Sus scrofa: one gene and its partners. The protein of the gene in region 3 interacts with the protein of the main gene of each other region in a biochemical or structural test. Links are inferred from orthologs where the notes say so. Each region holds a gene or a part of one and is shown on either strand. Other genes may lie near its edges.

Region 1 (4,993 bases), on a different chromosome or scaffold from region 3:
TTTGTCTTTTTTCTTCTTAGGGCCGCACCTGCGGCATACGGAGGTTCCCAGGCTAGGGGTCGAATCAGAGCTATAGCTGCCAGCTTACGCCACAGCCACAGCAATGCCAGATCCGAGCTTCCTCTGCGACCTACACCACAGCTCACGGCAATGCCAGATCCTTAACCCATGGAGCGAGGCCAGGGATCGAAGCCACAACCTCGTGGTTCCTAGTTGGATTTGTTTCTGCTGCATCACGATGGGATTCCCAGGCATATTTTTAAATAAATGAGTGCAGAGCAATAGTTGAGGTGTACTATTCTGGGGTCTTACCATTGTTCTGAAGGATGATATAAAATGTAAATATAGTCACCCAAAAAATTAGTGGGCTGAATGGGATATAGCTCTTTATTTGCATCTGCACAGCTATGTCCATTGGTGTGTACATATGACAGAGTGGGATACACTTGCTAATCTAGGAAAGAAAGCAATTGTTTTTTAATTTTTATTTTTTCTTTTTTGGCCGCTCTGTGGCTTATGGAGTTCCCGGGCCAGGGATCAGATCAGAGCCACAGTTGTGACCTATATCACAGCTGTGGCATCGCCAGATCCTTTAACCCACTGTGCCAGGCTGGCGATGGAACCCATGTCCTGGCACTGCAGCAACACTACCTATCCTGTGGTGCCACAGTGGGAACTTGAGAAAGCCATCATTTTAACTACTGCACATACAATTACCTTCTTTAATAAAATGTACAAATCACACAGCTAATAATTATATGTTTCTAGGAACGACAGACCAATGGTGACATCTTGGTGTTAGGACAGGGATTGATGTTCTGTTTAAAAGTTTAAAGTAACTGTAAGAGCTGTACCAGATCTAAGGGCTGTGGGTCAAGTATGTCTAAGCCTAGTTAGGAAACAGAAGTATTGATGGGGACGTAGAATATGGTAAGTGGATGGGTATGATGTAGGCCAGAAGCTACAGCTCTGATTCGACCCATAGCCTGGGAACCTCCATATGCAGCAAGTTAGGCCCTAAAGAAAAAAGAAAAAATAAATAAATGGATGGCAAAATTTATCTAGTCATGAGAATGAAACGTTATGTGCAGCTGTTCCTGCAACAGTGCTGAGTGTAGAGAGATGGTAGAAACACAGCACCCCCTGTGGGAGACCCCAGGTAAGTGTCCTCTCGGAGACCACACCCTCTGCCTTGCAGGGTTTCTAAACTACACACTGCCAGGGAACAGGAAGAGATAACTTTCAGGGAGTTCAGGATGATGATGGAAAAAACAAAGAGCTTTTAGAATTTAACCTCTTGCTTTCTACGTGGGGAACTACAGCATTATAAGCTTTTGACAAACATATGGAACTAATAACAGCTCTGAAGGAAAAAAACTGATAGAACCCAGTTGGCCAAGACCCACCTTGAGGGGCTGGCAAAGCCAAGTATTTCCCGAGTGTGGCTTTGTCCATATTCGTTGTACCTCTTTCCCTGCTCTGTGCCCACCCACTCCCTCCAGCATCCAAGTGGCCAGTAGCGAGTTAGAATTCAGGTTACCTGAGTAATGCTGTACAAGCTGCTGAAGTGTTTCAAACTGGGCCCGGGTGGTGATATAATACCCACCGTTGTCAAGTTTGCGAATTTTATAATGTTTGACATGGTCTCCTTTCATATCATCCCAGTCACGGATGGAAAGCGAATAGGCACCTGGGGAATATGCAAAGCATTAGCAGCTTCAATCATTCTCAGTAGCCATGTGTTTTTCAGGTCTCATTTACTCGAGTATCCTGATGAATAATTATCAGGAGGAGACACACACACACACACACACACACACACACACACACTTCTAGTTGGTAACACAGGAAGAAAACACCTTTTTCTGCAAATGTCAGAAGATACTAGCAAGAAAATGATTCTAGCCTTGAGAATGAACACTCCCTGGATTTTTTTCCTATGATACCCTATTCAGTACACTTGTGCTGGTGAACAAGGTACAGACCCAACTCACCCCCGGGAAGGAGGGAAGGGCTGCTCAGGGCTGGGCTGTGGCCCTAGTCTGATTACCCACAGAGCATCATGCAGGCAGGGGCAGTGCACACTGAAGAAATCTGAGAACCGTTTTTCTAGAACTGAGCTTCCACTTCTTGCTTCACAACACTGTTCCCAGGAGCTGGAGAACCAGTGCCTGGCAGATCAAGCTAAAGGCCACTGCTCCTTTCCCTGGGCCCCAGCTCCTCTGTGGGCTCTAATGTGTTGTTAGAAAAATGGGATGGCGGGCAGATGGAGGAAGAAAAGTCCTCAGTGGTGGAGAAAACAAAAGAAGTGCGGGAACACAACCTGTGCGATGGGCACCCGAGGAACCAAGAGGGATTTTTCAGAAAATCCCCATCCTAAAGGACTTCTGAAGAGTCTATGATCTCAGAGTCCCTGGAGGAGAGAAGTGGCCCCAGCCCCCGTGTGGGGAGGAAGGTCTCAATTTTGAGCCTCTGCCATCCTTTTGGAACTGTCTGCAGTTCTGGAGCCTGGAGGAAAATCTGAAAATAGGACTTGGCTCACAAGGCGGGGGGATATATGTACCATTTAAAACTCCTGGTACATTAGAGATAAGCCTTTCATCCCCTCTGACTAATCCAGCGATTTGAATGACAAGCCAGCTTCTTCAGCTCGTTATCTTACCTTTGGTGGTTTCACTCTCACGGATAAGAAAGGTACCTCTTGGGTTTCCAAAGGACAAAAGCTGTCGCTCAGCATCTTTTCGGCCGAGTTTTCCAAAGTACCACCTTTCAGTGAGATCAAGGGAAGGAAACATTTTATAATGAACATTTACAACAATGGAACAGCGTTGGTCCCTCTGCCCAGGAATCCTCATCTCCGATTCCATCCTCAGCCCCCGCCCTGTACATTTTTTCTTGGCCTCAACGAGTTCCTTTTCAATCTATTCCCAATTCCATCCCCAGTCCGTCTCTTTCACTCTTGAAAAACAATCAGATTTGAATTGCAGGTTATTTTTCTTGCCTCTAGAGATGACAGCAACCTGTGGATTTGTGTTAAAAGTTCCACCTGCATGCACAAAAAGAGAAACCCAAGACCTTGTTTTGAAATGGCAACCAAGAGGACCCTTCCCACGTGCCTCTACAAGACCCTGGATTTCTGAGCATAATTACAACACCTGGGAAATAATAAAACACAGGCTGAGTGTATATAAAAATCATTAACCAAGCATTTAAAAAGAAGTCGGTTAGAATGGATCAAAAACAAAGACATGGTGTTTTCAGCAACTTCCTAACTGCGGGAACTCTAGACTAGCCCTAACTTGAGGTGTCTGCGGCCCCCATGCTCGTTTCCATCCTCTCTCTGTCCAGCAGCATGAGAATGTGGGCAGGCAGAAGGGAGCTGTTGAGCAGCTGGGCTGTGACCTGCCCCAGGTGTGCCTTGGCCCAGATGCCAGGGCCAGGTTCCTGGGTAGCCAACTGCACGTCCTCAAAAACAACTCGGTGCCTAGGACTTGATCATATTCTATCATGATGCTCTCCTGCCACTTTAGGAGACATCACCTCAGTTCACCCCCCAACCTTCCTCATCCATCTTTCATCTCCCCTGCGCTCTCCAGCCCTGACCACGGCCTGGTGACTGGTTAACGTTTCTGTGTAGGTGCTGAGTGAGCGAGCAGCAGGTGCTCCATGAGCCCTAGGGGACCCAAGCAGAGGTCCACTGGAATCTGTGCACGGATCTGTTTCTAGAATGTGTGATGGTGAGAGGATCCAGTTTCTAAAATGAAATTTCAACTCATTATATGTGCACTATTATGTGTCACTGTCAAATTCTTTTGTGAATGAAAGAGCTTCCCTGAGGATAAGAGAAGACATGCTTCGTGCCAGCTCCTTGGTGATTTTAAAGGCATGAGACTGCAGTAATCCTAACCTAGCATGAGGTGGTATACAAAGAATTACACCAATTATTTGTGAGAAATGACTTTCTGGGTTTGTATCAATAACCCAATTAAAATGCAGTGTAAACATGAACAGTGGTGGAAAGAGGGCCCTAAGAACAATGGTGTGTACTGAAACAATTGCAATTTAAGATAAGGGCAATTCACCGCTCATGTAAAACCACAGGTATTATTTTTTAAATGCTATTTTATTCTTTAAAAACTGAGTATTTAAAAAACCCCTGGCCATTCTAAATATAACTTAAATACATGGAGGCTAGGTTCCCGGTTAAGTCAGAGCAATGCTTTGTTTTGGTGGTACCTTTTATTCTGAAGGAAGACAAAGATGTTGGCAAACCTGCCTTAAAATAAGGACTCAATACGGATTCTTTTATTCCCTGATGATGAAACAATCCCTGGGAGGAAAAAAGGAGCTCAGAACCACTGAATATTTGAGGGTGGGAAACAAAACAGATCTTCTTAGAGGAAATGCAGGGGAGCTAAAGACAAGACAACATTCCAGTTGGGGATCTGGCTGGGCTGTGGAGTCTAATCCTCCTCACAGGGCTCAGACAAACCCGGGGCAAGTGGGATACCAGAGCCAAAGGTCGGGTTCTGTGGCCGACTTTTCCTGACTTGTCTTCTGGTAAGTCAGGACTGCCTCCAACAAGCAGGATAGGCAGGTTCCCACGGTGTGGTGGGGGATCCCAGCCCTTAGCTGAGATGTCTAGGCCCTCACAGGAGCCGTACTGACAGCTCTTCACTTTGGAGGTGCCTATTTGGCACCCCGGGCAGGAGGAGCAACCACAGCTGTTCCTTCTAGAATCTGCCCAGCCTACTCACCACCTTTCGAAACTGCTATCAGAAAAATCCTTGAGCCAACAAACCGCTGGTCACAATTTGCTGTGAAAGAAGCACCTGACACCCCATATCAGAGGAAAGGGCCAGTGAAATGTACCCCCTCAGGACTGCCTGAGCTGTGGGACACCTGCAGGTGAGAGACCCCTACCCAGGGCCTGGACACCTGTCTTTTCAGCACCTTTTAACCTTTCCAATTCTGGGGAGGAGGAAAACCTCAA
Region 2 (4,034 bases), on a different chromosome or scaffold from region 3:
CAACTCTTCTGCATTCATGGTCTGGAAATCGAGTCTTCATTGGGAAAATTATTAAGTCAAACCTTGAGCGAGAGGCCCGAGCTGGTCCTTCATGGTTGTACAAGGGCATCAGAGAGTAAGATCTATCGTTATGTATTTTCCTACATGAACCACACGGCTGCTGCTGCACACCAGAGTGGGCCTTGGTCTGAAAGGTTGCAAGGCTAGTTTGTGTCACTGTCACCCCCAGTGACAAAGACTGCTTCCACTTCAGGCCGGAAGATGGAGCTAGCGACATCATGCTGGCCTTGGGTGCCCTCTATCACCATCCTAATTCTAATCCTATTGTTACCCTACCTACCCAAAGCAAACACTCACTCCACTGTTTTAAAAGTATGATGTGGTTCTGGCTCATAAAACGCAAGCCATATTCTTTACTACCTAAACGTTAATTTAATTATGTTCCATAGGAATCCTCATACTGGATTCCTAATCTTGGCCAATCATATTGCTATGCACGGGCATGTGGGGGAAATGGTGCCCTGGATTTGATAACTGCGGATAAAGAAATCCAGACCTATCCTTGTGGCAAGAATTTTTTTTTTCTTTTTTAGGGCCGCAACCGTGGCACATAAGACGTTTCCAGGCTAGGGGGTCTAATCAGAGCTATGGTGCCGGCCTATGCCACAGCCACAGCAACACCAGATCCGAGCTGCATCTGTGACCTATACCACAGCTCATGGCAACGCTGGATCCTTAACCCACTGAGTGAGGCCAGGGATTGAATCTACAACTTCATGGTTCCTAGTTGGATTTGTTTCTGCTGCACCATGATGGGAACTCTGAAAAAATTCCTAATTGTTCTCCAATATCCATTCTCCCTTTTAAATTCATTAATGACCACCCCCCCATCACCACTTTTAAGTTGGACACAGGTTCTACCTAAAAGAAAGCTTTCTTTGTGGCTCGGTATGTCTATATGTCCAAGTTGGTCAATGGAATGAAAGCAGAAGTGGTGTGTGTAACATTTGTGAGGTGTCCTTAAAAGGAGAGGAGAGGGTGTCCCTTCTCCTTTCATTTTCCCTTCCTGCTGAGTAGGATACAGACACGATAGCTGGAACTGGAGCATCCATATTGGGCCATTAGGTACCATGCGAATGCTGACCACACACAGTGGAGCAAAAAGAGAAGGCACCTGGGACCTGGCTACCTTGGATTACTTACCTCCATATTTTTGTAGAAGAGAAAAATAAATTTCTATGTTAATTAAATCAGTGTTATTTTTAGTTTTCTGTCATAGGTAGTTCATTGAACCTAATCCTGACTGTCACAGTCCCCCTGTTTAGGAAAAACAATTACAGATTTATATTCTTTCAATGGTGAATTACAAGCATCACTTTTGGAAACGAAGAAAAGCTACTTCACTGGCAACTCTCATCCTTCACAGAGAAATGAAGGCATAGCCAACAAATACAAGGCATGGCCAACAAATTCATTGGCAATTGATACCTGGGCTTCATCTTTCTTCCACTTCAAAGGCAGTGGTGAGGTACTCCTTTGGAACAATCCCAATGAGGCTGTTCATTTCTCCTACCCACCAGCCATACATGTTATACTCCTGAAAAATGAAAAGAGGATGCCTTCAGTTGGAATTTAGTCATGCTTCTGTTAATCTTTTTTAATCTGTTAATGACTGCATGGGAGACTCTGCTGGGTGGTTTCTTTGTTGACACTACAGTACAACTTAACACCCCTGATGGGATTACTAAATTAAAAAAAGTTATCTAGAGGCAGACAGCAAACTCTGCTTTCCTTTTGCCATCTTTCTGTCTATCTTGAAAATTTAGCACATTTGGTGCTATTGCTGAACCTAAAGAGCATGTCTTTTACCAAGCAGAGTGGAATGGCTTCTTCGAGGAAAGTTGGGCACACCCTAAAATGCCAGACCACTAAAGATATTCAGGGAGTTGGGTCATAGTTCAAATCAATAATATTTACCAAGCATCTTCTATGTGCGAAGTGCTGTTTGAGTTCCCACGAGATAGATTATGATGAATCAACACTGCTTGCTCCCTGGGAGTTTACAGCACAGAGTAATGAGCTATGGAGTCAGACAGACTGGGATTTAGTCCCCATTTGGTCATTTAGTAGCCATGTGACTGGAGGGTCTCCTAGCTTCCTCCTCTGTAAGAGTAGGGATAATATTACCCTCCCCTGTGTTGGGATATAAGTGATGCTGCAGACATGAAAACAATTCAAAGTGTCTGATACACAGTAGGTGCTCTAAACATTGGCTTTCTCCCTTGGAAGAGGTGGGAGGTTGACATCAGTAATGATGGGCAGGACAAAAGAGCCATAGAAAGGAGAGTTCCCTTGCAGTGCAGCCGGTTAGGGATCTGGCATTGTCACTGTAGTGGGCTTGGGTCACTGCTGTGGTGTCAGTTCAATCCCTGGCCTGGGAACTTCCACATGATTTAGGTGTGGCAAAAAAAAAAAAAAAAAAAAAAACAAACCCCAAACACCAAACAAAGAGCCATAGAAAGGGGCAAACAAGAAAGGGAATGAGAGGGTTTAAAAGAAGGACAGTTACAGAGTTGAGAACAGAGCTCCTTGAATACTGAAGATCTTAAAAGCACGGCAGATGTTGAACACTATGGGGCTATTCCTAAAAGCACTATAACATATTTTCCTTCTCTTGAAAGAAGTGAAATTTAGGAATTCATGGGAAATATATGTATTCCAGTTCAGCTGGATTTGGGTACTGAGGAGCTAATGTTTTAAGCCTTGTGCACACCTGGTTGCTGAGTTCTAGGGGGGAAAAAAAAGAAAACTAGGTTGGTGACACAAAATTCTGGGTCAACCAGTTATCTTTTTGTTTCTTTTTCATCGTATATCTTCCTTCCTCCAACTCTGCCTCTCCCTTCCTCTCAGCAGTTGACCTTTTTTCCACCTTGAAGGAAGAGAAAAGAGAAGCCACCCAAACAGGAACTTACCTTTGTTGACAACCACCTTTCTTTCTCAATAAAGTGGAGAAGATGTCCCTTTCCCGGCTTGCTTTATTTATTTATTTATTTATCTTTTTAGGGCTGCACCTGAGGCATATGGAAGTTCCTAGGCTAGGGGTTGAATTGGACTACAGCTGCCAGCCACAGCAGCTCGGGATCTGAGCTTCATCTGCGACCTACACCACAGCTCATGGCAACGCCGGATCCTTACCCCACTGAGCAAGGCCAGGGATCGAACCTGCATCCTCATGGATGCTAATCGGATTCGTTTCCACTGAGCCACAACAGGAACTCCCCTCTCTTGGCTTTAGACTGGTCCTCACACTCGCCCTTGTAACCCTTCTGCTTTCTTTCTTAGGTTCTGAGAAATCTGACCTCTGCCTCCCATGTAAACGGCCCCTTCCATCTGCACCAAAGTGGGTTCGAGTCTCTTTTGTCTTTGCAAACAACTATTAAATAGTCCCCACTGCATGTCTACTTCCCATTTCTACTGCTCTATGCGGACTGCCAATTCACAGTCAGATTTATTTTATTTTTTAATTTTTAAATTTTTTTTGGGTCTTTTACCTATTTCCTGGGCCGCTCCCTCGGCATATGGAGATTCCCAGTCTAGGGGTCGAAACAGAGCCGCAGCCACCAGCCTACGCCAGAGCCACAGCAACACAGGATCTGAGCCTCGTCTGCAAACCTACACCACAGCTCAAGGCAACGCCGGATTGTTAACCCACTGAGCAAGGGCAGGGACCGAACCAGCAACCTCATGGTTCCTAGTCAGATTCGTTAACCACTGCGCCACGACGGGAACTCCCACAGTCAGATTTATTGAAAGAATTTATTTCACTTAGTGCTCCAACTTCTTGCTTTCTACTCACTCTTTGAACCACTCTAATCGGGCTTCTGCTTCCTCAGTCCACTTATACTTCCTCTCGGTGTCTCCTAGAACCTCCTTATTGCTCAGATTCTATGGGTACTTTTGTCTTTAACTTACTTGATCTCTCTGCAGTGCTGGCACTATGGACCCTTCTTGAGGTATTTTCTTCTTTTAGTTTC
Region 3 (4,993 bases):
ATATCCTATTTTTTCTTACTAACAAATATTATTTGAATGAATAAGCCAAACAATGTGATTTTTCAGAAAAAAACCACAATGAAAATCTTTATATAATTCCTTCAAAACTATAAACAATCTCTTTATAATAGATATGCTATAAAATTTTTCATTTAAGAAATTAGTTTTTCATGTTTTACGCTTGAAAATTTCTAAACGCTCGTAACCATATAGACTGTATGATTAAAATGTTTTGATGTTCATACTGCAATCTTAGTTTTAATTATATATAGTAAGAAAAACTGAATGAGAACCTATAAATGATACAGCACCTTATGTGCATTATTTTATTTAATGCCATAATAAAATTTCAGGAGAGCTATCGTTTACTCACTTTAGAAATAAAAACCTGAGGTTCAGAGAAGCTTAGTAACATGAACACCATCAAATAACTCACAGGTGCATCTGGAATTTCAATGCCCATCTGTTCAACTGAGTCTAAGCTTTACATTTTCCCTGTGCCCTGCTGTTGAATCTTTATTTTATTATAAGAAATATACTGGGAAGTTGTATATAAATCACATTTCTATAATTTAAACCACATATTAAATGTTTTGGAAGAATTAAATATTCAAAGGAAACTTGATAATGTTATCCTTTTTAAAGTGAAGAATAGTTTTGTCACCCAGATAATCACTCTAAATGTAGCTGACATATCAAACCCACACCAGATGGGTCATGTTTTCAAAGACAGACTAGCCAGGCCAGTACGTTCTGCAAGTGCAGTCTTAGTGGTGGCAGTAATAGAAGTCACACAATTAGACATCAGAGAAGACAGAGGTCAGAAATCCAGGCAGATGAAGAGGGATGAGAAAGAGCAAGTATCAGAAGTCAATATGTACACAGGCTTAAAACACAGGCAAAAATGTAAGTCAGGTCTAGACATCAGCCATCAGAGTAGCTTGGAGATTCTGAGACAGGTATGGTTGATCCAGAGACACTCCTGTCCCTTGCCCCACTTTATACATGCCACAGGAATAGCTAAGTGTGTGGGTCTGAGCTCCTATTATAAGTAGGTTAACGTGAAATGCATGATGAGGAGAGTCAAGAAGGGTCTTAAGGAACCAACCAAGTATTCATTCACTCAACCGACGTAGAATTTCTTGAGCTCCAACTATATTTTATTTGGATTTTATGCAACTCATAAGCTGCCATATTTTATCTGAATTTTATTTTTTTAACTTTTAAAAAATTAATTTATTTTTTCTTGTTATGGCTGCACCCACGGCACATGGAAGTTCCCCGGCTAGGGGTTGAATCGGAGTTGCAGCTGTGGTCTATGCCACAGCCACAGCAATATCAGATCTGAGCCACATCTGTGATTTACACCACAGATTTCAGCAATGCCAGATCCTTAACTCCACTGAGTGAGGCCAGGGATTGAACCTGCATCCTCACGGACACTTTGTCAGATTCTTGACCCACTGAGCCACAGTGGGAACTCCTATTTGAATTTTCTTATATTGCATTTTTAGTGCAAGATAAGGGAGAGTATTGGACAAAAACCTTACTGTTATGAAGGTAGTTACTCTTGAAAACAATGATTAAATTTTCCAAATATGTAAGGTTTCAAAAATGGTGCCCCTTTTGTGTGAAAGTTATAAAGAAGTAACTCCTTTTAAAAAAATGTACACGTGCACAACACTGTAAACCAACTATAAGGGAAAAAATAAAAACCATTATATTAAAAAACCCATTATATTAAAAAAAAAAGAAGTTACTCCTTCTGTAAACCAGCTATAAGGGAAAAAAATAAAAGCCATTATATTAAAAAAAACCCATTATATTAAAAAAAAAGAAGTTACTCCTTTTCATTCATTAGCAAGCGAGGTCTTACTTTAAATTTCTTCTTTATTTCTTGTTCTTTCTTTTCTCTCTCTTTTTGTTCTTTTTTCTCCAGCTCTAATCTCTTCTTTTCCTCTTTTTCTCTTTTCTTCTCTTTTTCTTTGGATGCTTCTCTGAGGATAAACATTGTTAGGTTGTTTCAGCATCTGCAGGCATGGATGTGTTAGGGCTCACCCTCCAGAGAGTTCCTGCCCACCACAGAAGGCAGTGTCTGAAGTACAGGTGAAGGCACAAAGCCAAGGCTTGTCAAAATTCCTGGGTGTATGAGATGGTTCTTAAAAACGGCAGAAGGCCTATACATGAGGATACCTTCCAAAGGCTCTGCTACCCCTAAACTCATGCCAGCAAGTAGAAACCACTGTCCATAAACCCTGTTCTTTTTTTTTTTTTTTTTTTTTTTTTTTTTGCTTTTTAGGGCTGCACTTGAAGCATGTGGAAGTTCCCAGGCTAGGGGTCAAATCAGAGCTGCAGGATCTCTAACCCACTAAGCGAGGCCAGGGATTGAACACATGTCCTCATGGATACTAGTCAGCTTCGTTTCCACTGCACCACAACGGGAACTCCCATAAAGGCCCTGCTCTTGAGGCCTGTTGGCATGAATAGCATGCATCTCTCTCTCTCTCTTTCTCTCTCATGTGCACACTCACTGGTACAAGTGCACATACACATGTGTATGTGCAAACCTTAATTCCCAAACTTTTAGTCAGAATTAGTTGAATAAGAACTGGGTAGAGAAAATTAAGGTATCTGAATCAGCAAAAGATAAAATACGATGCTCATTTCTACTTTCCCTCATTTTCTGAGAAATTTAGTCTTGGGCCACCCAGAAGTCTCTTTTGGAGCTATTTTAAACATTTTTTCTGCTTTAGCAGGCCGACACTTTGGCATCTGGTGCTGTGTTGAACTGTCTCTCATGGAACAGTTGTGAGGCGAAGGGCTGCCTAGGTGAGGATTGTGTTACATGGACATGAATGCATTTGCCCAAGGACTTGCCAAGAGTGGGAAATACAGATTCCCACCCCTGGATTCCCTGCCTGTGGGCTATCTAGTGGGGTGTAGGCTCCCAACTCCTTTCACAACGGCATTTGAACAGGGTCCTCTGAAAAATCCTTAGACAAGAAAAGAATCTTTAGTCCCTTGTACTGAAATAAATGTTATCATTATAAGCCCTTTATTTGAACAATAGAGCGTCTCTCCTCTAGTGTTGAATATCTATCTGCACCCCCTCTTACAAATCATTGCATTTATCTTAGAAGGAAAATATCATGGTAAAAAAATGTAATGCATACATGTCTTCATATGTTTCTCCTTCACTCTCTTGCTCCTGTCAAGAAAAACAATGATGATTAATTGTAATTATTTAATAAGGGAACATACACATATTTCATTGCTCAAATACTCAGTAAAACAAACATAAATTTAATTGCATATAAATTTGAATGTTTAAAACATATTTTTTTCCTTTTAGAAGTAGACTGAGAAAATAAACACAAAAAGATTCCATTTTCTATCCAGCTATATAATCCAGATATATAGCCAGACCTGAGCTCATGTTCAGTGCTGCAAAATTACTATGAGTCAGTGTAATAATTGGTGTTTAATGTCTCAAGCATTTCAGATAAAATAAGATTATAAGTGAAAAAATACCATCATTAACTCCAAAGAATTTTCATTTGTTCCTTTACCAATAGAAAATGAATCACAGAGTTGCCATTGTGGCTCAGTAGTAATGAACCCTACTAGTATCCATAGGGCGCAGGTTTGATCCATGGCCTTGCTCAGAGGGTTAAGGATCTGGCGTTGCTGTGCGCTGTGGTGTAGGTTGCAGATGTAGCTTGAATCTGGTGTTGCTGTGGCTGTGGTGTAGGCTGTGGGGTATAGCTCCGATTTGATTTCTAGTCTGGGAACTTCCATATGCTGTGGGTGTGGCCCTTCAAATACAAAAAAAGAAAAAAAGATAATGAATCACAGTAATGGTTAAATATTCTATTGACAGTAATATAAGAAGGAAAGAAAAACTGACCTCATCGAGATTTCCAGTACCTAAAGTATTTAAAAAAAGAATACAATTTAATATACTCTAATTAAGAAGTGGTTTAACATGAATTATGAAATGCAATATAATATTCAAATCAGTTTATAATCTAACAGAACTTTTGCTTTACCCAAGGTATGTAAGTACAAAATAGAACATGTGGTTTAGATCCCTATTATTGCTTTTTTGAATCTTGGAATTTAATTACAAAATCATTTCATTGGCTTTCATAAAATAATGCAAAAACCAAAACATAATGAAGACACTCTTTATTTCTTTATGAAAAATACACATGTTTGATTTTGTGGGCTTGTGTAGAACAAAGGTATGACCAGAAAATCACAACTAGCTCACAGTTTTTGATTTATTTGCTCCCAAGGATTTACTTTCATGTATCAAACAAATCAAGTTAATAGGATTTTTCAAAAAGATATTTTACTGCTCAAGTGTTTAGTAACATCAACAAATTACCAAATATTAAGACATAATATAAAACAATAATAATAAACAGTGTAGTATTGATATTAAAACAAATAGACAATGGAACACAGCAGAGAGCTCAGAAACAGATACCCAAATTACACACATGCAAACAGAAACACACATTATGCACACACAAATACACCATGTGTACAAAGACATAAACACACTAATACAGCTAATACAGTAAAGGTGGCAGTATAAATTAATGAAAAAAGAGTGGATTTCAGAATATAGTGATGAGAAAACTGACTTTACATAAAGAGACAACAAATTTGGATTTCTACAAACTCCTCAAAGGTCAACTGCCAAGAGACCAAAGACCTAAATATAAGTTTCGTAGAAGAAAATAGAAGATAATATTTTTCTCTCCAAATAAAATACCTAGGAATAAACCTGACCAAGGAGGTGAAAGACTTATTTGCTGGCACTATAAAAAAATTTATCAAGGAAGGAGTTTCCGTTGTGGTGCAGTGGTTAACAAATCCAACTAGGAACCATGAGGTTGCAGGTTCGATCCCTGGCCTTGCTCAGCAGGTTAATGATCTGGCGTTGCTGTGAGCTGTGGTGTAGGTCGCAGACACGGCTCAGATC

What was found.
Region 1: the proteins of FYB (region 3) and FYN form a complex in vitro, tested with the Homo sapiens proteins (2 studies listed by BioGRID and IntAct). The link is inferred for Sus scrofa from reciprocal best matches to the Homo sapiens genes FYB1 and FYN.
Region 2: the proteins of FYB (region 3) and SKAP1 form a complex in vitro, tested with the Homo sapiens proteins (2 studies listed by BioGRID and IntAct, with this or other methods). The link is inferred for Sus scrofa from reciprocal best matches to the Homo sapiens genes FYB1 and SKAP1.

What each region holds. Positions count from the first base shown.
Region 1 is NC_010443.5:77,624,255-77,629,247, forward strand, and holds part of FYN (tyrosine-protein kinase Fyn), read right to left. Parts: intron 2,767-4,993; coding exon 2,663-2,766; intron 1,691-2,662; coding exon 1,541-1,690; intron 1-1,540. UniProt on the Homo sapiens protein: Non-receptor tyrosine-protein kinase that plays a role in many biological processes including regulation of cell growth and survival, cell adhesion, integrin-mediated signaling, cytoskeletal remodeling, cell motility, immune response and axon guidance.
Region 2 is NC_010454.4:24,372,652-24,376,685, forward strand, and holds part of SKAP1 (src kinase-associated phosphoprotein 1), read right to left. Parts: intron 1,598-4,034; coding exon 1,496-1,597; 3' UTR 1,489-1,495; intron 1-1,488. UniProt on the Homo sapiens protein: Positively regulates T-cell receptor signaling by enhancing the MAP kinase pathway. Required for optimal conjugation between T-cells and antigen-presenting cells by promoting the clustering of integrin ITGAL on the surface of T-cells.
Region 3 is NC_010458.4:24,364,879-24,369,871, forward strand, and holds part of FYB (FYN-binding protein), read right to left. Parts: intron 3,928-4,993; coding exon 3,908-3,927; intron 3,209-3,907; coding exon 3,174-3,208; intron 1,998-3,173; coding exon 1,877-1,997; intron 1-1,876. UniProt on the Homo sapiens protein: Acts as an adapter protein of the FYN and LCP2 signaling cascades in T-cells. May play a role in linking T-cell signaling to remodeling of the actin cytoskeleton. Modulates the expression of IL2. Involved in platelet activation.